Linked DNA regions of Sus scrofa. The protein of the gene in region 1 purifies or fractionates together with the protein of each later gene. This does not show direct contact. Links are inferred from orthologs where the notes say so. Each region holds a gene or a part of one and is shown in the gene's direction. Other genes may lie near its edges.

Region 1 (7,190 bases):
GAGCAAGCTTGGAAGGCAGCCATGCTCACCATTATACCACCAGTGTGCATTTGAGAACACGTTTGATTTTCTTTAAATTCTACTTAACTTGGTTGCTATAACTGCTCAGGATTCCAAATGAGCTGTTTGTAGACCCAAATATATAATACACTAGAATAAAATTTTCTGTAAAATCCCTTAAGACAATATGAACTATATGTAGTCTTTAAATATTTTTTTTACATTTCCCAAAATTGCTAAATAGAATATTAACACTTGGAGGTGGGGGATTGAGGCTTTTGGAATTTGACTAGAATTAAATCAACTTGGTCTAATGAAACAATTTAGCTGTTTAGAAGCTCTGATTGGTTGCTGATAACTCTGAACTTTGGGGAACACTAATGATAATGAAATAATGTTGCAAAGCCATGACCTAAAGCTATCCTGAATAGATACAGAGAGATGGCCGGAATTGGTGATTAGCAGCAAAAAGAAGGGCTCAAGTTGCTATACAATTACTTAACTTTGTTGCTTCTTAGCATCACAGCTGCAGTAGTGATTTGTGTATTTCATAATATGAACCCTCTTACAATGACTGATCTTCGGATAAAATCTGGATCAGCAGTCACACATATGGAACATATTATTTTTAACATGCAATTTGATAGACAACATCTTCCAAAACATTAGTCTATTGGGGGAAAATTAATGAAAGGTTCAAAACCACTGACCTAAGATTTTTCTCCCAGAATGTCTCTGAACATTTTGTACTACTCAAAACTTCCCTGGAGGCACCTTCATAATGATAGGTAAAAGATCCCATCTTCAGAAATGGTTGGTAGATAGGTTCCCATACCCATTCCCTTTTCAGAAGGTTTCTATCTGCTACACTGCCTTCCCGGGCCTGGGCTCTGCAGGGTGTTGCACAGGGCGCAGTGTGCACACGCAGAGTCCGGCTCTCTGTGAGCACAGAACTGGGGCACATCTCACGGCCGTCGCACGCTGGAGCTCCACCTTCATTACCTGTCAGTTTGGTTTACACCTAAGTGGGTAAATCTCTCCCCTTAGTGGGGTAGAACTGTAATAAGCTTTTAAATGGGAATGATTTTGGTGTTTAGAAACTCCCATCAACCTCTGAACACTAAAGAGAAGAAAGGTAGGCAAGGACTCTCTTCCTTTCACTCTGAAAATAACTATCAAGCACATTTAATAGCAATGACGTCCTGCCGGGACTGTGCAGGTCAGGCAGGCAGTGTTCTTCCAGGCCGAGAGCATTAATTCTCACACCTGGGCAGTGTTTCTCTTTTCCGACTTGGAGGCAGTGGTCAGAAGGCTGAGGACACCTTGGTGCTATGGGGCTCTTACGCCCCCTTGTGCTCCTTGGGGAGAAGCATTTCTAAAGCAAGCAAGTTCCGTATCTTGCAACCCACAGAACCCTTTGTAGACAAACCAGGCTTTGCTATGTTTTGAACAATCACTGCCAAACCCAGAAACCAGTGCTATGATGTAGAGACAAGTCATCCATGATGTGAGGATTTTAGGTTAAAGAAAAACCCTCAATCTCCCCCCTTTCCTCTTTCCTTCATTCTTTTAGGGCAGGATTTCTCGGCCTGAGCACAACTAACATTTGGGGCTGTATACTTCTGTTTGCTGGGAGGCTGTCCTGTGTGGTGTAGGATACCTAGCAGATTCCTGGCCCTGACCACTGGATGCCAGAAACCCACACACCCTCTCCACTTGTGACAGCTAAAAACATCTCTGAGCACTGCCTAATGTCCCTGGGGGGCAAAGTCACCCTGGTTGAGAACTCCTGTCTTTAGTATGTCAGAAGCAGAAATAGCACAAAAACTTTTGCTTTAGACATTGAGATATAAATAAAATTATGTATGCCATACATGAAAGAGCATTAAAATGCTCTAGAGGGAGTTCCTGTCGTGACAGCATTAACAAACCTGACTAGTATCCGTGAGGATACGGGTTCAATCCCTGGCCTTGCTCAGTGGGTTGCTCTCAGTGTTGCGGTGAGCTGTGATGTAGGTTGCAGACAAGGCCAGGTCCTGATTGCTGTGGCTGTGGCATAGACTGGCAGCTGCAGCTGCAGTTTGACCCCTAGCCTGGGAACATCCATATGCCACAGGTGTGGCTCTTTTAAAAAATGCTTTATAAATGTAAAGGAACATTTGTGTATTATGAAGTCTTCTTACTTTGGGAGTTTTTGTAAGAAACCATAGCATTCTACCATTCTGATATCAGAACCTACTGAAGTTTTAACACCTGGGGCCTTATCCTCCCTGGCACTTCTTTTCTTTCCCTGTGACAATATATTAGATAATCAGAAAGGAAATTGGTACGTGGAAGATGGAGGAGAGGGAAAGAGGAAGCAAGACATAACAGGGAAGTGCCTGACCTGAGTGGAATGACCCCTTTCTCATTTCCACCCGCACCTCCATTTTGCTCCCAGTGACTGAAAAACTTTTGACTCACTCCATAGTTATAGTCCTTTGACCTTAATGTTTACTCAGCAGACCTTCCTTAAGAGCCACCTTGTGTTAAACCCTGGGTATTCCAAAAGGGGTCGGACATGGTTTCTGTCCTCAAAGAGCTCACAGTCCAGCAAGAGAAAAGAGAGTGACAGAAAATGCCTCACCCTGACCCGGGGGAGCTGTGTTCTTGAGCAGTGGCCTCAGGCTGTGACGGACCGTAAGTGCAGACGGACTGAAAAGTGGTTCGAGAGGAGTTCCCGTAGTTCCCATCGTGGCACAGGGGTTAACAAATCCAACTAGGAACCGTGAGGTTTTGGGTTCAATCCCTGGCGTTGCCGTGACCTGTAGTGTAGGTCGCAGATGCGGCTCAGATCCCGCTTTGCTGTGGCTCTGGCGTCGGCTAGGGGCTACAGCTCCGATTGGACCCCTAGCCTGGGAACCTCCATATGCCACGGGTGCATAGAAAAGGCAAAAAAAAAAAAAAGGTGTGAGAGCAGCACCCCCTCAGTAGAACCCACACCTGGAATTTGGGGGTTTGCCTTCTCCTGGCCAGTGATGTGTGTGCTACCCTCTCATGACGCTGGTCAGCAGTGAGCGCAGCCCCCAGTCGGTCCTAAGACCAGGAGGGCAGACGTTCTCAGCACAGGATTCCTTACGTGGGGGAGTCAACACTTCTGGTAAAGTAGTCTTTGTGGTAAACGATGAGGATCTGCCCAGGCTTAAGGTGGGCCCGGCTAAGCTGTGCTGTGCAGTCTGTTCAGCGAGTAAATGCATTGTCAGTGCACCGTGGTGGTGCTGGGGGTGACCCCACTGTCAGCTGGGTCTGTACGGTCAGACCCAGGCCCTGCCCCAAAAGGGACATCGAGGCTTCCTTCTCCAGCTAGAGTCCTTCATAACAACATTCTCGTAGATCTGCTCCGCTTTTTCTCTTCTCAGTCATTGGGTGAGTTCTGTGTGTGCTGGGAGCATGTGCTCTGCCTTGACTGGTAACCCTGGTGAAGGGATCGTAACATGCTCGTCGGGCAGACACTGGATTTGGGTCTGGATGCAGTTCTGCCAGCTTATAGCCGCCTCCTACCGAGGAGACCCCTCACCTGTACCCCCGTCTTATTTGTGTGTTTAAGTGGCTCTCACTCCTTACATCCATCCTAAAATGGCAGTAAACACATTGTCATTTCTTGTATAGCACGTATATATAATTCACATGGATTAACTACACAGTTGTTAGTCACAATCATTAGAATTCTAATTAGGCGAGAGCTAAAATGTGACTCAGATTTTTCTCATGGAGTTGGCTGACTGACACCTATGTGGTTTATGTCTGCTGTATGTGGGACTGCTGCTCTTCATCTGTGCGTTTTCCCGTCGTCTGTAGATGAGCGGTTAGCAGACCACAGCCTGTTTTCGGGAGTGAGGCTCTACTGGGACGCAGCCACACCCACTTATTTATCAGCTGTCTATTGCTGCTTTTGTGCTACCAAGGACAGAGTTGCAACAGAGATTGTTTAGCCTGCGAGGCGTAAAATATTATCTGCTCCTTTACAGGAAGAGGTTGCCAACCTTGGGTTTCAGTAACTGCGATTTGCTGGGTTTGGGACTAGCATTTGCTCTAGGACATGATGTCTGCTGTGCAGCGCCGACCATCAGGAGAAAGGGGAAAAGTAACTTCCCTTTCCAGTAAGCTAGTGACACAGCCTAGACTCACCAGCCTCTTGGAAATCCGATGAATATTAGCACCAAAGAATGTGACCCCAAAGCCTGCTGACAGAACGGCCCCTCTGGGAGGGTGAGGCGGGCAGTTGGGGAGGAGAGCACTGCAGGGCCGGGCCTGAGCCCCGCCCGAATCACCGGCCTTCAGAAACAAGGGGAGGGGCCCGGAGGACCGAGAACCCACGGGTCCTCAGGTGGGACCAGGTGGTCATTTCTCAGGGAGGGCTGGGCTTACCCTTCCTTTGAGCCCGCACAGCACATAATTCCTAGCTTTTGTTTATCTCGTAGGGAGGCAAGTACATGCAGGCCGTCATTCAGTATGGGAAGATAGTGTCCTGGCTAGAGATGGAGTACGGCTTGTCAGAAAAGGAGTCTAAAGCTTCAGAATCCTTTCTCCTCGCCGCCTTCCTGAACCTGGCCATGTGCTACCTGAAGCTGCGAGAATACACCAAAGCCGTGGAGTGCTGTGACAAGGTAAAGTGACTGCGTGGGGAGAGATGCCAGGTGGTCTTGCCTCATGCATGGTCGGCTTCTGCTTGCTCTTCCTCGTCTCCCAGGTTTGGGATTTTTGTTTTGCTTTGTTTTGTTGGGGACTATTTGTTTCTCAGTAAGAATTGGGAAATTCCGAGTTCCCATCATGGCTGGGTGGTTAACGAATCTGACTAGCATCCATGAGGATGCAGGTTCGATTCCTGGCCTGCAGGGGGTGGATTAAGGATCTGGCGTTGTCCTGAGCTGTGGTGTAGGTCGCAGTCGCGGCTGGGATCTGGCATTACTGTGGCTGTGGTGTAGGCTGGCAGCTCCAGCTCCAATTCGACCCCTAGCCTGGGAGCCTCCATATGCCATGGTTGTGGCCCTAAAAAGCAAAAAAAAAAAAAAAAAAAAAAAAAAGAATTAGGAAACTCAGAAATTCATCATACCTTACTGATGCCTAGATTACTTATAATAATAATACACTATGAACAAAAGTTTTGATAAAATTAAACAATTTTATCTATGACCTTAAGTCTCCAGCATTTGGTACCAGATCGGATATATAACTCCACAGGTTCAATTTAATAAGGACAGATTAAACTTAAGCCTTTTAGGACTTTGACTGCTCGTGCAGGAATATGTACAAGTCCCTTTTTATTGTAATCATATTTATTCACTGACTAAGAGCACACATACCTACCTTGAAAGACCCACAAAGCGTCCGCCTCCCTTATTACTCTTATGTTGTTAACACTGTTAAGGGCACCTCAGTTCTGAAAGACCAGAACTTTACTGTCACCTGTACCTTTCTGTTGTTTTTATGTAGAGCTGGTGCTACTGTGGTAGAATGAACAGTGTATGTTATACTATGAGTAAAATCTAATAACTGCATAATTATTTTTGAGTTTGAAGATTTTGAGTTTTGGAGTTCCCGCTGTGGCACAGTGGGATCAGCGCCAGAACACAGTTTAGATCCCTGGCTGGGCAGAGTGGGTTAAAGAATCCAGTGCATAGGTCACAACTGAGGCTCGGATCTGATCCCTGGCCTGGGAACTCCATATGCTGAGGGGTGGCCAAAAAATATTTTTAGTTTTGTGGATTAACATGTTCCCTGCAATGTTACACTAAATTTCTGCCTGAGGAAAAAAAAACACTATATTTTTAAAAACTTTGTGCCTTATTATGGAAGCATAGTAAAAAGTCATTCAAAATTCAGACATTGGAGTTCCCGTCGTGGCGCAGTGGTTAACGAATCCGACTAGGAACCATGAGGTCGCGGGTTCGGTCCCTGCCCTTGCTCAGTGGGTTAATGATCTGGCATTGCCGTGAGCTGTGATGTAGGTTGCAGACGCGGCTCAGATCCCGCATTGCTGTGGCTCTGGTGTAGGCCGGCAGCTACAGCTCCGATTTGACCCCTAGCCTGGGAACCTCCATATGCCGCGGGAGTGGCCCAAGAAATAACTAAAAAGACAAAAAACAAAAACAAAAAACATTCAGACATTATAGGAGTTCCCATCATGGTGCAGTGGTTAACAAATCTGACTAGGAACCATGAGGATGCGGGTTCGATCCCTGGCCTTGCTCAGTGGGTTAAGGATCTGGCATTGCCGTGAGCTGTAGTGTAGGTTGCAGACTCGGCTCGGATCCCGTGTTGCTGTGGCTCTGGTGTAGGCCAGTGCCTACAGCTCTGATTAGACCCCTTGCCTGGGAACCTCCATATGCCGTGGGAAGCGGCCCTAGAAAAGGCAAAAAAAAAAACAAAATTCAGACATTATAGAAACCTAAGAAACAGACATTATTTATACAATTCCCCTTGAGCCTCTCTCCCAAAACCAGTCTTTCATTTCAAACACATTCCTTTTTTCTCCATAGAGTGACATATATGTGTTTTTTTAATGACAATATATAGATTTATAGCTTTATAAAATGATGTCTTTCTGTATCAGTTCATCATACAATACTTCATTCTTTTTGAGGTCTATATAGTAGCCTATGTATGAATCTATCATTGTTTATTTAACCAATCCCTTTTGGTAGATTTCCAGGTTTGTGATATTACAAATTACATAGCATCTCTTTGCATATGTGTGGGATAATTTCTCTGGGACAAAATTCCTAGAAAAATGGATATACTGAGTCAAAAGACATTATTATTTTGGAGTTCCCATTGTGGCTCAGCAGGTTACAAACCCGACTAGTATCCATAAGGATGCAGGTTTGATCCCTGACCCTGCTCACTGGGGTAAGGATCCAGCATTGTAATGAACCGTGGTGTAGGTCAGAGAGACAGCCCAGATCCAGTGTTGGTGTGGCTGTGATGTAGGCCTGCAGCTGCAGCTCTGATTTGACCACTAGCCTGGAACGTCCATGTGCTGCAGGTGCAGCCCTAAAAAGACAAACATAAATAATTTTTAGTACTTTATTTATTATTGAATATTATCAGTGGTTTATTTTCTCAGTATTGGCAACAAATTCATCTCATTTTTGTTCTTTATTACTGCTGAAGTTGCACATCTTTTCATTATTTTCATTATTTTAGCCATT
Region 2 (7,624 bases), on another chromosome or scaffold:
AGATGAAGCCCTTAAAAAAAAAAAAAAAAAGAGTTCTTGGAGTGCCCGTCGTAGCTCAATGGTTAATGAATCCAACTAGGAACCATGTGGTTGTGGGTTTGATCCCTGGTCTGGCATTGCTGTGAACTGTGGTGTAGGTGGCAGACTTGGCTCAGATTCGGCATTGCTATGGCTGTGGCATAGGCCAGTGGCTACAGCTCCATTTCCACCCCTATTCTGGGAGCCTCCATATGCCATGGGTGCAGCCCTAAAAAGACAAAAAAAAAAAAAAAAAAAGATGAAAAAGGGGCTGGAACCCAAGCCAACATAGAGAATGACTTCTATCTGTTTTGTTGTTGTTGTTTAGGGCTGTACTTGCAGCACATGGAAGTTCCCAGGCTAGGGGGTCTAATCAGAGCTAAAGCTGCCAGCCTACGAAGTGTCTTCGACTTATATCATAGATTGCCGAAACGCCAGATCCTTAACCCACTGAGGGAGGCCAGGGATAGAATCTGCATCCTTGTGGTTGCTAGTCAGGATCGTGACCACTGAGCCACAACAGGGAACTCCCAGAGAATGAGTTCTATTTTAAAGACAGTGAGTTGTAGGGGGGCTTCATTGGAAGGTGAGGCTAAAATGAACCCTGCTGGTATGGGAAGGGAGTTCGGCACACTCAGAGACAGACTTCAGGAACGTTCCTAGCAAAACAGCCAATGGAGCAATTTAGCCAGTTTAGACCTTGAGATGTTTCTTACTAGTATCCCAGCTGCCCTTGCCAGCAAGGGCCCAGAGCTAGAACTTTCAGAATGCAACATGGAGTTCCAGCCATGGCTCGGTGGTTAATGAACCTGACTAGTATCCATGAGGACTCAGGTTAGATCCCTGGCTCCGCTCAGTGGGTTAAGGATCCAGCATTGCTGTGGCTGTGGTGTAGGCTGGCAGCTACAGCTCTGATTCGAACCCTAGCCTGGGAACCTCCATATGCTACAGGTGTGGCCCTAAAAAAAAACAAAAGACAAAAAAAAAAAGAATGCAACACAATTTATGTTCATCTCAAGCTTGACATCCTCAGCCAGATGGTTAAGGAGAACAGAAGTTAGGGTGCAAGGAGAGCAAATAGACTAATAGAATGGTTTCAGATATTAGACAGTTTATCATTAATGAGACACTGATCCTTACGTTTCCTTATCCCCATTCCCCCAAAGGGTTGGGAGATAAAGAAGTTGGAGCCAGTAAGACAAGAGAAGCCAGAGAAACCTGCCTATTGCCTACCTAGATGTCTGTGAGTGGGGAACATTTGTTCTGTGGAGGGACAAAGGCTAAGGAAGCTTGCACTGGTGGAAGAGAAGGCCACTCAATGGCCCCATATAAAAAGTTAGAAGGTTTGGACAAGGGCATAGTCATTTTTATGCAATGTGGTGGTAACTTCCTTGCACACACTCATTCCTATATCCATCTGTATATGATGTATATAATAGCGTGCGCGCGCGCGTGCACACACACACACACACACACACCATCTTAGTGCAGAAAAGAAACTTTTTTTTTGGCCCCACCTGTGGCATATGGAAGTTCCCGGCCAGGAACTGAATCCGAGCTGCAGATGTATCAACGTGGGATCGCTAACCCCCTGCGCCTGGTAGGGTTGAACCTGTGCCACCACAGAGACAACTAACTCAACGGATCTCACCCCGCTGCACCACAGCAGGAACTCTGGAAAAGAACCTTAAAGGTCAAGTATTCCTGTTTCCAGCTCATTAATAACCTCTCTGCCAGGAGGTATCTAGATTCTGCTTTAACACTCCCAGGGAGAAATGGAAGTTCTGAAGAGGTGAAGGCACACTACCTTGCCACGCTTCCTGTTGGATTACTGTATTTATCTGCCTTCCATCAGTCCTTTAATGCTAGTTTTGCCCTAAAACGGGTATTGTGTCCTCTCTATTTTATATGATCACGCTGCCGGCTATATCTTTACATATAGCCTTTTCACTACCTTAAAGGGCTAGTGCCTGAGACACCAAAAAAACTCATGTAGCAAAAACCGTACATTTACACAGGAAGTAAGCGTTCGGTAAAAATTTGTTGAATGAGTGAATGAAACAAAGACACAAATGAGAATATGTTTTCCGATGGCGGTGGTACATAAAGGCGACAGCACCTCCTCACGTCCCCAGGCCCCCCACTCTGCATATAGAGTGACAGACGCATAGTGACACTGGAGTTGGCGCTCCGGCTCGGCCTGCAATGGGGAATTGGGATCTGGGTGGCCCAGGTTGCCATGGCACCGTATTGGACTCCACCTTCTCTAGGCTCCCGCCCCCCCCTCGCCAGAGTTACGGCAGCCAGTCACGTGCCCTACAGCGTAACCACACCTCTGCTCCTCCAAGCAGTCAAGCGGTCACGTGTGATAGCAACAGATCACGTGGCTGCCATCGCCCCTCCGCCCCTTTCCCTTCCCCGCCCCCTTCCCGGTCAAATAGGCTCCAAGCTGCCTTTCTGCGCACGCGTACTCTGGTCACGTGTTCCGAACGTCCGGCACATTCGCCCCGCCCTGCCAGTTTCCGCGCGCCTCTTTGGCAGCTGGTCACATGGTGAGGGTGGGGGCAAAGGGGGCCGCTCTAGCCTGCGGCCTATGTCTATGGTCGGGCCCGTAGAGTCCAGCTGCCCCAGACAGAGCTCGAGTGCATGGCGCTGCAAGAACCGGCTCCGGGGCCCCGATAACGGGCCGCCCCCGCAGCTCCTGACACGGGGCGAGGTAAGTGTAGCCCCCTTCCAGGAATAGGGACCATTCTAGTCCTCCCCGGCTTCCTACGCGGGCTGGTCTGGAAGGGTCGCTCGAGGGCGGGAAGTGGTGCAGGGTGTAGTATGTTCCTTTGTGGTCATAGGGAGGTGTAATTTAAAGGACTAGGTGAAGGGTCTTCAATGCAGGGGGTGTGTCGTGTGGGATTTCCCTTGTACAGGGCTTGATAGTCCCAAAGAAGAAGGAATTTTTTAATTCTAGGGCCTCACGTGGCTGGAGGGCTTTTGGTTAATCATTGTGTTACCTAGGGGGGTCGGCCTTATGGAAATTTGGGGAAGGGACGGGATGCTGCTCTTGTTGTCTTTGGGATATGTTTTGTGCGAGACACTTTGTTGCCGCAGGCTCATAACTATTTGAACTCTGGAAGGGAATTTGGTGGCAGGAGTCTCTGTGATTGTAGGGTCTCATCTGGTCTGAGAATGGCTACCTCCCGGTATGAACCAGTGGCGGAGATTGGTGTTGGTGCCTATGGGACCGTGTACAAAGCACGGGATCCCCACAGTGGCCACTTTGTGGCCCTCAAGAGCGTAAGAGTCCCCAATGGAGGAGGTGCTGGAGGGGGCCTGCCCATCAGCACGGTTCGTGAAGTGGCCTTACTGCGCCGGCTGGAGGCTTTCGAGCATCCCAATGTTGTCCGGTGAGAAGAAGGTGGAGGGTTGGGAGTGGGTAGTAAAAAGGAATAGACAACCTGTAGGTGGGGAGTGGTGGTTGAAAGAAGTGGGGACCCTGAAGGAATAGGGGAAGCCATGTTAGGTCAAAGATGATTGATCACTGAGTGACCTTTTGTTCTGGCCAGGCTGATGGATGTCTGTGCCACTGCCCGAACTGATCGAGAGACCAAAGTGACCCTGGTGTTTGAGCATGTGGACCAAGATCTAAGGACATATCTGGACAAGGCACCCCCACCAGGCTTGCCGGTGGAGACCATCAAGGTGAGTAGGATGGACATATACTGAGAAGTAAACTGGGATCTTTGTAGTAGCATCTGTTGTGGCTTCCAGTATGATGCCTAGTTTCCAGTTTCTCTGTACCTCCCCCTTCTAAACCAGGATCTGATGCGTCAGTTTCTAAGAGGCCTAGATTTCCTTCATGCCAACTGCATCGTTCATCGAGACCTGAAGCCAGAGAACATTCTGGTTACAAGTGGTGGGACAGTCAAGCTGGCTGACTTTGGCCTGGCCAGAATCTACAGCTACCAGATGGCACTTACACCTGTGGTCAGTAGAAAGATGGTAGCCAAAATGGCTTCTGGTTAGTGGGAGGAGAATGCTTGCTCGTAGCAGTTGGGAAGTCACGTGTTTTTTACGTGCTTGACTTCAGTGAAGCAGTTGTGCTTCATGGTAAGGAGTAGGGACCTCATCGACCCTTCTTATTCCTATTAGGTGGTTACACTCTGGTACCGTGCTCCAGAAGTTCTTTTGCAGTCTACGTATGCAACACCTGTGGACATGTGGAGCGTTGGCTGTATCTTCGCAGAGATGTTTCGTCGAAAGTATGGGGCCCAAATAACCCATAATTTCCCAAATCTCTTATTCATAAACCACATCCATGTCATGGCCACTCTTCTACTTGAGTACTCCTGACCATCTGGTCTATAACCAGAAGCTCTGAAATATCCTGGAATTAGGAATTCCATAGCTCTTTATTCTACATACCCGATGTTCTGAGCTACTAAGCTGTAATCATTCTTCCACCATATGTTTGAAAATGACTGCTGTCTTATGTCTTTTCTCACCTCAGGCCTCTCTTCTGTGGAAACTCTGAAGCTGACCAGTTAGGCAAAATCTTTGAGTAAGTGATTGGGAAGGGAAAAGAGTTTTCCATTCTTAGTCGTCCTCTTTCTGCTGAGCCCTGGTTGGAAACTGGCTCTGCCCCTGGGGGTGGGGGCTAGAGACGGGCCCTCCTGACCAGAGTTCTCCTGTTTCCCATAGCCTGATTGGGCTGCCCCCAGAGGATGACTGGCCCCGAGATGTGTCTCTACCCCGAGGAGCCTTTTCCCCCAGAGGGCCCCGCCCAGTGCAGTCGGTGGTACCTGAGATGGAGGAGTCTGGAGCACAGCTGCTACTGGTACTGGGCTTGGGTATGGGCACAGGGTGAGATTGGGGTGAAAAAACAGCAGTATAAAAGGGACCCAAACACATTGTGATCACTGAGACTCATTAGTGGATGGGCTAGTTTTCTCTTGCTGCTTTGAATGGCAGTCCACAAAGAGAGATAGAAAAGAACCCATTCTAGATATTGTTAAGGGTGAGTAGAAGTCTATTTTGTTTTCTTCACAGTTTTCTGACCTTTGCCTCCCTTCTTAGGAGATGCTGACTTTTAACCCACACAAGCGAATCTCTGCCTTCCGAGCCCTGCAGCACTCTTATCTACATAAGGCAGAAGGTAACCCAGAGTGAGCAATGGAATGGTTGCAACAGAACCAAGAGAAGAGAAGCCAACACTTCCCTTCCTTTGAACACTTGAGAGTCCCTTGCCGAGAAGTCGATCTCTGCCTTCATCTCTGGGGTGTGGAGACGACTGCCTCTGTCTTTTTACAGAGAATATTTTGCTGCCTTAATGACATTCCCCTCCCTCCCCTCCTTTTGAGACTTACCCCCCCCCATTTCCTTACACCAAGGGGTATGTTCCTTGCTCTCCCCTTCCCTGTACCTTGATACTAGAATCCTTTTTTATACAGGAGAAACAAAACAAAGAAATACGGTCTTTTTTCTGGGAATGTTTTTTCCTCTGATTTAGGGATTTGAAAAAAAAAAAAAAAAAAAAAAAACATTTGGAAGATGGCACTTCCCCACAGAATCATAGAGTCTATAGAGTCAGTGGAGCTCCTTAACTGGCAAAAGAAGAAAAGGCACTTATGTTGCTTTTTTGAATATAGAGTTTAAATGGCTTTTATTTTTATATTTACTGAACTTCTTCAAACTGGGTCCAGCTTATTACAAGAGTTCTTGGTGGTTTTCTCCCTGGCTTTGTCCCTGATTTACCCTTGGAGCCAGGATGTGTTGAGGCAGTCCAGCACATGGAAGGGAGAAGAGGGGAAACAGAGCCAGGAGTTCCTCCGACCTCTATCCCATCTCATGCACTTTCAGGAGCTTTCCATATCCACTTAGGGAGAGAGGAAGGAAGGTTTTTTTATTCTTTATAATCTTGTTCCCAACAAAACATGTCAAGGCATAAAGCCTAGCTATTCAGTCATCTAGGGAACATGGCAAAAGACCTTTCCTTTTTCCTCAAACAAAAAGGGCTGTAAACCCCAGGTTTTCCCTAAGGGAGGGGGAAAAAAAAGGCTTAGGGAGAGCAAACAGCGGGAGAAAAGTCAGAAGGATTCAGCATCTCATAGAAAGGCACTAGGGTTGGCTCGAGGGTCCTTCTGATTCCGAAATCTCATTGCTAGCCAAACACCAAGGATCTGTAGAAGCAGAGGGGAAGAGGTGAGCAACAATTTTGAATCTCTGGGACTAAGACTTAACAGATGTAGAGAAAGGACATTAGGCAACTGGAGAATGTTACCTCTGTAAAGCTAAAGAAGAGTCCAACACCTCCCAGGATTTTCAGGGCTTCATCTGAATGCCTAAGAAACTTCTCTCCACACATCTGACATGAGGGGCTCCGGCTCTTGCAGATCTGAGGATAAACATATGGGAGTTAGGAGAATGCAGAGTTGCTATGCTGCTCTAGTCTAATACCTAGTGGTGAATGGCCCTAGAAATTATATTCCCACTTCCTGATCAGCATCCTACAGCCTGGAATCCCATGTGGATGATTCCTTGGCCTCTGTATCCACCCCCACTCCTACCAGCACACAGCCCTCAATAAAACTGAGCTGCCAGTCACAAACTCAAATCTGCCAATATGGCACTGTCCTTAACCCAGTTTTCCTACCCTCTCCCCCCACTTTTTCTGCACCAACTCACTGCAGTGCAGAAAGCATAATCTTGTTGATCCAGGGTTGTGAGGTTGAACAAGCCACAGCAATCAAAACTTCTTTCCAGTTCATTCCGAGTCTTGTTGCTCATGACCCGCCAAGAAGCATTGATGATATCTGTCTGGAGAATATATCAGGCAGAAAGAAATTATTGCTATTGCTAACCTTAATTAAGAATCTCCTTACATCCTGATCTCAGTTCAAGTGCCTCAGTTTTCCCTGTTCGAGTAAAGGGAGTTTTCCTTCAGAAGTAAAGGTGCACATAGGGATAACTACCCACTTTCTCCTGGATCATCCTCATGGACAATTAGCCAGACATCCCAGAGGAAGGATATGGCTCAAGGGTCTGAAGGTAGTGGGCCTAGTAATAGTTTTTGTTGCCCGACTGAGTAAGGAGTTAGTGCGGGGGGGAATAAGTACCTGAAGGGGTGCCACCTTACCTGTTTGCTTAGGTTAATAGCCAGACATGAGCAAGAGATTCCAAACTGGAAGATGAAGACCAAGCCAAGGATGATCATGTACTGAGAGGACGAGTTAAGGGAAAAAAAGTCCCAACAGATTCCTTTATGTTCTATCTGAGCTTACCTATTCATAGAACTTACACAACCAAGTCAGTTGAAAACAATACAGTTAATCAGCTTTATAGAGTATGGTATGGAGGGGGCTCGACCCTTCTAACTTTTTCCTAGCTGATTCAGCCCTCCCAAGAGCTCCAGGGGCCCCATCACTTCAGGTCAGGATACAAAGAATAGCAGTACTTGATGGTGGTTGACAGCACCCACCAGTCCAGCCACCGCAATGAGAAGAAGGAAGACTCCCACGGCTATGACTCCTCCGATGATGTGGATGCTGGACACCAGACCCAGGCCTTTAGCCCAAGCAGCCACTCCAATGAGCAACAAGCCTACCAGCTATGGGAA
Region 3 (7,816 bases), on another chromosome or scaffold:
TCGTTTTATTGTGAAAAATACCAAAGATGTGCAAAAGTAGAAAGGATAGTATAAACCCAAGGTACCCACCTCCCAGCGTCAACAGTTATCAACCTGTTGCTACCTTTGCTTAATTTATACCCCTCATAATCTCTTATTTTCAAAAATAGCTTTATTGACATATAATTCACATACCACACAATTCACCCATTGAAAGTGAACAATTCACTGCTTTTCAGTATATTCACACACCTGCACAACCATCACCATTCATTCTCGAACATTTTCATCAACCCATCACCTTATCTACTTCAGTTCTAAGCATCTATTAGTCTTTCCATCTCTCTATGTTTGCCTATTCTGGATAGTTCACATAAATGGACTCATAATATGTGGTTTCTTGTGAGCTGTTTCTCTGTGTTGCTCAGTGTTTTTTTTTTTTTTTTTTTTTTTTTTTTTTTTTTTGTCTTTTTGCCATTTCTTGGACCGCTCCCGGGCATATGGAGGTTCCCAGGCTAGGGGTCCAATCAGAGCTGTAGCCGCCGGCCTACACCAGAGCCACAGCAATGTGGGATCTGAGCCGTGTCTGCAACCTACACCACAGCTCAGGGCAACGCCGGATCGTTAACCCACTGAGCAAGGGCAGGGATCGAACCCGCAACCTCATGGTTCCTAGTCGGATTCGTTAACCACTGCGCCACTCCTGCTCAATATTATTAACATGGTAGGGTAGGAATGTACTAGATTGTGTTTATTCATCAGTCGATGGACATGTAGGTCATTTCCACCCTTTGGCCGCTAAGAGCAGTCTCACGTGGACCTGTGTTTTCATTTTTCTCAGGTACATACCGAGCAGGTCCCCCATTACCTTGAACCAAATTCCAGGCACCTTATAATTTCGCTGTAAATGTTTCAGGATGCATCTCTAAGAATGGACTTTGAAAGAAACAACCACAGTACCAAGTATCACACCTAAAATAAGTTAACATTAATTGCTTAGTGTCCTCAAATAGATTCTAAGATACCTTTTGACGGGATTTCCCAATGGATTAGACGTGAGCCCTGAGGGCCAGAGAGGACTCAAGAAGGACTCCCAGGTTGTGTCCTGCTGACCGGAGGGTGGACGTGCTGTCACCTAATAATAAGGGAGGCTGTGGGTGGAGCCGGCTTCTGGGGACTGTGAGCAGTGCAGTTCTGGAGAGGTGAGTTTTGAGAGGAGGATTAGATGTCCAGCCTGAGATGCTGAGTTTGATGCATGGGGGTTAAAGCTGGGAGTCTGGATGGAATTAGCGCTGGAGTAGCTGTAGTTAGAGAAAAGATGAGATCCCAGAAAGGAGCCCCGGAGCATCACAGCATGAAAAGTGTGGCGAGGATGGTCCACGGAAAGAGCCAGAGCAGGAGCAGCCAGTGAAGTGGTGGCTGTTCTGGACTCAGGGCTCAGCGGTTGGTCAGATAGTGCTGGTGGGTCAGGGGGTTATTCAGAGAAGTATCAGTGTAACAGCGAAACGTCCCAGCTTGTTTGGTGTTAAACGTCTCTAGCTGCAGCTCAGGCTCTCTCCTGGAAGCTTCTTTTGGGATCGGCTTCCTCCTCCATGTAGTCGGTTTTCTTGGGCAGGATTTAAAAGGGCTCCGGGCGGGTGCTGTCCCGCAGAGCGCCCCCCTGCCCCCGCCTCTAGTTCACAGGACGATGCACACAGCTCAGCCTGACTCTCGGCCCTGCCACCTTAGGCTGCAAGCCCAGCTCCCGCTTTCGGGTGCTCAGCTCCAGGGAATGCCCACCAGGTTCTGAGTGGTCTCTGTGAAGCCCTTCTCACTAGGTACATTGATTTCCTAGGCTGCCGTGAGAGAGTCCAAGGCAGATGGCTTAAGACAACAGCATTTGTCCTCTCTCCGTTCTGGAAACCAGGAGCCTGAAGTCAGGGCGTGGCAGGGCCCTGTTCCCTCTGGGGGCGCCAGGGGAGGGTCCTTCCTGCCTCTTCCAGCCTGTGGTGGCTCCAGGCATCTCTGGGCTGGGGCCGCATCACTCCAGTCTCTGCATCTTCACGTGGCTTCTTCTGTGTCTGTCTCTCCTTTTGTGTCTCTTAGAAGGACACTCATCATTGGATTTAGGGCTCCCCTGATCCAGGAGGACCTCATTTCAGATCCTTCACTTGTATTACATCCTTTTCCTTCTTTCCTTTTCCCTTTCCCTTTTTTTTTTTTTTTTTTTTTTTTTTTTTTTGCTTTTTAGGGCTACACTTGAGGTATATGGAAGTTCCCAGGCTAGGGGTCTCATTGGAGCTGCAGCTGCCAGCCCACATGAGTGAGAGCCACAGTGACACGGGATCTGAGCTGCGTCTGTGACCTATACCACAGCTCACGGCAATACTGATCCTTAACCCGCTGTGTGAGGCCAGGGATCGAACCTGCATCCTTATGGATACTAGTTGGGTTCTTAACCAGCTGAGCCACAATGGGAACTCCAACAAATCCCCTTTCCCAATCAGTCCCGGTTCCGGGGCCCAGGGAGTGGACCCATCTTACTGCTTGGAGGTGTGGGGAGGGTGGGCATTCCAGCACAGCGACCCCTGCCTCCCAACCTCATCTCCGTCGATTCTCCTCTGTGGTGAAATCGGCAGCTTCAGCGTCCAGCCGGGAGCTAGCCTGAGGCGCCGTTTACGGCCGGTGCTGAACCGTGACCTTTGCGAGCCCCACATGAGGGGAATGTGAGCCACTCGTAGACCAAAGAGCCCTTTTTAGCGCCTTTTCCACTTGGCAAAGTGCTTGTCCTTCTGCCGAGCGTGGCCCTGGCACTCCCTGTCCTGCAGGGTAGGAGAGTTCTGCCTGGGTCTCCTCACGCGATGCCTCTGCTGGCATCTCTTTCAGACGCTGACTTGTTGGATGAGCAGGACCCCCTGGAAGAGTCAGCCGTGTGAGATGGTGCAGCCTAGCGGCGGCCCGGCAGGGGACCAGGACGTGCTGGGTGAAGAGTCCTCTCTGGGGAAGCCAACCATGCTCCACCTGCCTTCGGAGCAGGGTGCTCCTGAGACCTTCCAGCGCTGCCTGGAGGAGAATCAAGAGCTCCGAGGTGAGGGCGGCAGCGGGCCTGTGCCCCGAGATCCCGGGCCGGCGCCTCCCACCTGCCGCACCTCTGCCTTCCTGGGACTGGGGCGGCGTGCACCCGGGCGGGTTAGTGATTTGGTCCCAGCCGCCGCCCCCGCCCTGGTCCAGGTGGGGTTTCCGGGAAGTGGACGCCGAGATCCAGGGAGGCACGCAGGAGGTTTATTCAGAGTCCTCTGGGACCAGCCCTGCAGATGGGGAGGGGAGGGCAGGGCAGCGAAGAAGCAGGGGTGGGTGCAGGGAGAGGCCCACCCTGCAAGGGGCTTGAGCTGGAATATGGCCCTTCTGCGTTGTCCCGGTTGGGCCGACGCCGCCAGGCCCTGGTGTCTCCGTACTCATGTACTGACCAGTCAGTCAGAACCAGCCTTACTGGGAGGGGCGCGGGTCTCCTGGGAAGGGGGCGGGATCTGCTCCAGGAAGGGGGTGTGGTCTGCGCTGGGAACGGGCGTGGCCTCCCTGGGAAGGGCCGGGGGGCGGCTTTGGGAAGGAGGGGCCAGGCGGCGCCGGGGACCTGACGGAGGGCTGTGCTCCAGCAGCACTTGCCGGGGGCGGGGGGTCGAGGGCTTTTCGGCACCCCCCACCCCCCCGCCTCCGTCCCAGCCCCACTCACCCAGCCTCCGCGTCCTCCCCTGTATCGGGGTCACCTTCTCGGGTCCCAGGGGCCATGGCTCCGTGCCCCTCAGGTGTGACCCGTTCTTGGCCCCCTCGTGTGGGACAGCGCCCCCTCCTCCTCGGGTTTGTGCCCTGGGCCTCCGCTGCTGGCAAGCTGCCCCTTTGGTGCAGTAGCCTGGGGCATCCGGGGGGGGCACCCCTAGCCTCTCATTCAGTGACACTCTTGTGGGTGGGAGGTTTCTTTTGGGGGTGATGGGAATGCACTGGAACTAGAGGGAGGGGCGGGTGCACAACTATATGAATACATTAAAGCCACTGAATGACTGTGTATTTTTTTTGTCTTTTTTTAGGGCCTCATTGGGGGCATATGGAGGTTCCCAGGCTAGGGGTCAAATTGGAGCTGCAGCTGCCAGCCTACGTCACAGCCACAGCAATGCGGGATCTGAGCCTCATCTGTGACCTACACCACAGCTCATGGGCAACGCCGGATCCTTAACCCACTGACCAATGCCAGGGATCAAACCTGCGTCCTCATGGATGCTAGTCAGATTCTTTTCCGCTGAGCCACAACGGAAACTCCTGATTGTGTATTTTAAAATAGTTAAAATGGTGAATTTGCTGTTACGTGAATTTTACCTCAATTAAAAACAAAAGTTGTGGGTTTTCTTGTGGTGCAGCAGGTTAAGGATCCAGTGTTGCCACTGCAGTGGCTCAGGTCGCTGCTGTGGTGCAGGTTTGCTTCCTGGCCCAGGGACTTCACATGCCGTGAGTGCGGCCCAAAAAAAGATCTTTAAAAAAACCCCCAAAACAGAGGTTTTGTGGGAGCTGAGGTGAACCTCGGACGGAGGCTTGGCAGGTGGCCGTTGGGGGGGACCATCTGCCTTCGGCAAGAGGCCTTGTCCAAGGCTTGTTGGTCAGCTGCACAGGAGGAGTCATGTGGGGACCGTGGAGTCCAGAAGGTGGCTTTGGAGTGGGGCTCAGAATTTGCCGTAGGAGTTCCCTGGTGGCTCGGTGGGTTAAGGATCTGGTGTTGTCACTGCTGTGGCTCTGGTCGCTGCTGTGGCACGGGTTCAACCCCTGGCCTGGGAACTTCCACATGCTGCAAGTGCAGCCAAGAAAAGGAGGGGAGAGAAAATAACTTGCTGAAGTTCTAGTGAAAGAATGTTCCAGTAGCAGGCACCAGTTAGCTGGTCACGTGTTTTGACCAGAGGGTGACATGAAGCCACTGCCTGCCCCGTGTCATCTGGCTCTGTGCTTGCTAGAACCTCTGCGTGCCGCTGATGAGTTTTGTCGCTCACGATGGCCTTCTGCCGCCTGGGGTGTCCGCTGGGTGTGTGGGGAGAGGACGACCGACTGGTCCCCGAGTTGGTCTTGTGTGCCGGCTCTTGGCTGCTTGTTTGTGTGACCTTCCTTGTCCCGTGAGATGGGTGTCATCGTCCCCGTTGGGACATGTCGATGAGGATGGTGGGGCTTCGGTGACCGGCCGGCTGGCTCCAAGGCTTCCGGCCCCCAGTCTGCGGCAGCAGGGCCACAGGGACGTTTGCCCTGTGTGGCCGGCCCCCTGATCCTGGAGGCAGTGACCGGGTGCCCTAGGGTAGGCCTGCCTCCCACCCGAGCAGAACATAGACGAGTTCCAGCGTCACTTACAAAAAAGGTGGCATCGGACCCAGAGCTCTCAGTGCACCTGATGTGTTTAATGTTTGATTGGAAAAGCATGGGCACGTGATGGGCACCACTGCTTTTGAAAGTGCGCTGCCTGGGAGAGGCCGGCGCCCTCACCTCCCTCTGCGTCTCCTCTGCCGCCAGATGCCATCCGGCAGAGCAACCAGATGCTGCGGGAGCGCTGTGAGGAGCTGCAGCGTTTCCAGGGCAGCCAGCGGGAGGAGAAGGAGTTTCTCATGCAGAAGTTCTGCGAGGCCAGGCGCCTGGTCGAGAGGCTGAGCCTCGAGAAGCTGGAGCTGCGCAGGCAGAGGGAGCAGGCCCTGCAGGAGGTGGAGCTCCTGAAGACCTGCCAGCAGGTAGCGGGGCGCCGGCCGCCTGCCCTCTCCCCCGGGGGTCCCCAGGAGCACCCTCGGGCGGCCGCACAGAGTCGAGAGAAGCCGTTATCCTCGGGGCTCTGACCAGGGCGGGCGGGGGTGGTGGCAGTGGGCGCCTTAGCCAGCAGGGCCTGCGGACGGGCGTCAGGGCGATCGGCAGGCCGTTGGCTGGCTCAGTGGGGGTTCAGGGTTTGGAAGCCGTTGGCCTGTCCAGGGCAGTGGAAACCTTGAGACCGACCCGATCATCCTCAGGTGCACGCAGATGGGCGTGAAAAGGAGGGGGATGAGTGGCGGGCGGGGTGGGTGGCGCTGCGTGTAGGGGTGGGGGCCTGAGGCTTGACCCTGGGCCTGAGCAGCCTGAGGTCTCGGGCCCAGGGTTTGCACAGCCTTGGGAGGGCGTCTGGGCGGTGGGGAGTTGGAGAACTCTTGAGTTTTGGGGCAGGTGCAGGACTTGTGGGAACAGCGTCACTCCCTCTTACCTGCTAGTGGCCTGGGGCCCGGGGAGCGCGCAGGTTTCTGTCACATGTTTGAGTCTCAGCAAGGTGGGGAGACTCCTGCTGGGCTCAGCCCGCATGGGCAGCTCTGTGCTCCTCTGGCCCCATCCTCAGTGGCCTTGCTGGGGGAGAAGCTTCGAGAGATGAGAGGGAGATGAGTCGGGGTGCCGGGGGCAGGAGAGGAGCCCCGGGGGTGGCCGGTCTCAGTGCTGACGTGGCGTGGCTTCTTCTCGTGCAGCAGATGGCAGAGGACAAGGCCTCAGTGAAAGCCCAGGTGACGTCCTTGCTGGGGGAGCTGCAGGAGAGCCAGAGTCGCTTGGAGGCCGCCACCAAGGAGCGGCAGGCTCTGGAGAGCAGGTGAGCGTGGAGGGAGAGCCCTGCCCGAGGCCGCTGACTTTTTGCCAGAGTTTTGGATGATTCCCGAGGGGCCGTTTGCGGGGTGGGGGGGACGAGTCCACGTGATCACAGTGCCCTCCCGGCCCAGGACCCCCGAGGACGGAAGGCCCAGGGCGGGGGCGGAGCACCCCCTGCCTCTGGCCCCCTCCTCCTTTCCTCCCTTCTCTGGCGGCGACTTGGGCCTCCCTGGAGGCCTGGGGCGCCACTGGAGACTCAGCGCCCTGAGTTTGATGGAGGGCTGGTCATGGCCCAGCACACGCCAAGCCTCCTGACTCCTGGAGGAAAGCAGGTGCTCCCCATAGGCCACCGTGTTGTGCCCACGGTCTAGGCATGGGGACCTCCCTCATCTGGAGGGCGAGTGTCCTGGCAGCGTAGGGGACTCACACCAGCCCTGCTGGCCCCTCTCTTCTGCAGAGGCTGCTTCCTGTAGCTGTGCTCACCGGGTCAAAGGGCACGGGCGTCTCTGTGGTTCTCACGCTGCCCGGTGGCTGCCGTCCAGGGAGACGGGTCCAGGCGGCAGGGCTGGCCGCAGCTCTCCCGGTGCGCTGGGCGCTGCGCCCGGAGGCCCGAGGCGTTTCCCAGCGCGGCGTTTAGACGCCCCGCCATCCTCAGAGCGAGCGGGGAGCCTCCCTCTAGAAAGCAGGCGGCGAGGGCGTGTGTGTGGCAGGGCCGAGCCCGCTGGCCTGGTCGCCTTCCCGGTTCCCCGCCGGGCTCGTCTCTACCCCCACTTCTCTAAGAGGCACGTGTGTCATTTCTAGGACACTGCCACGTGTTTCTTGCCTTTTTTCTGTGCACATAAAAGAGACTGCTGGAGGCGTGACGCTGTCTGCAGTTTTGTGGCTGACTCTGCTCAGTTAATGACCCCGCAGTTGCAGGCTCTGGGCATCTTCCTCTCTTGTCCCCCCACGTGGCTGAGATGGAAATGCTGGCTGGCAGCTCAGGGCAGGGAGCCTGCTTGCGTCTCCCATCGCTCGGTGTGGCCATTTAAACAGATCCAGACTTCGTACATGTGGCGGCCCTTTGAGCGCCAGGCCTGTCACATCAGAACGGCTGTCCTCCTTGTTCTCGGGCCCCTGGCAGACAGCACTTCCGTCTGGCGATGACAATGCCGGCAGCTAAGTTTTGTCGGGTCACAGATGGACATCTGAGTTGGATATAGCTGGCCAGGTGTGGAGATGAGACCAGAGGAGAGGGCCAGGA

Evidence for each region. The genes of interacting proteins can lie anywhere in the genome.
Region 2: the proteins of FKBP5 (region 1) and CDK4 purify together in Homo sapiens (affinity purification with mass spectrometry; 3 studies listed by BioGRID and IntAct, counting the BioPlex papers as one, with this or other methods). This does not show direct contact. The link is inferred for Sus scrofa from reciprocal best matches to the Homo sapiens genes FKBP5 and CDK4.
Region 3: the proteins of FKBP5 (region 1) and IKBKG purify together in Homo sapiens (affinity purification with mass spectrometry; 3 studies listed by BioGRID and IntAct, with this or other methods). This does not show direct contact. The link is inferred for Sus scrofa from reciprocal best matches to the Homo sapiens genes FKBP5 and IKBKG.

The regions. Positions count from the first base shown.
Region 1 is NC_010449.5:31,446,547-31,453,736, reverse strand, and holds part of FKBP5 (FK506 binding protein 5), read left to right. Parts: intron 1-4,460; coding exon 4,461-4,646; exon of another isoform or gene 4,647-5,063; intron 5,064-7,190. UniProt on the Homo sapiens protein: Immunophilin protein with PPIase and co-chaperone activities. Component of unligated steroid receptors heterocomplexes through interaction with heat-shock protein 90 (HSP90).
Region 2 is NC_010447.5:23,037,003-23,044,626, reverse strand, and holds CDK4 (cyclin-dependent kinase 4), read left to right. Parts: upstream 1-2,667; 5' UTR 2,668-2,734; intron 2,735-3,179; 5' UTR 3,180-3,198; coding exon 3,199-3,416; intron 3,417-3,575; coding exon 3,576-3,711; intron 3,712-3,828; coding exon 3,829-3,996; intron 3,997-4,161; coding exon 4,162-4,271; intron 4,272-4,519; coding exon 4,520-4,570; intron 4,571-4,710; coding exon 4,711-4,846; intron 4,847-5,085; coding exon 5,086-5,178; 3' UTR 5,179-5,421; downstream 5,422-7,624. Other genes in the region: TSPAN31 (tetraspanin-31), read right to left, coding at 6,114-6,188, 6,290-6,403, 6,694-6,825, 7,145-7,225, 7,448-7,615.
Region 3 is NC_010461.5:125,042,021-125,049,836, forward strand, and holds the start of IKBKG (NF-kappa-B essential modulator), read left to right. Parts: upstream 1-2,859; coding exon 2,860-3,046; intron 3,047-5,496; coding exon 5,497-5,708; intron 5,709-6,458; coding exon 6,459-6,577; intron 6,578-7,816. UniProt on the Homo sapiens protein: Regulatory subunit of the IKK core complex which phosphorylates inhibitors of NF-kappa-B thus leading to the dissociation of the inhibitor/NF-kappa-B complex and ultimately the degradation of the inhibitor.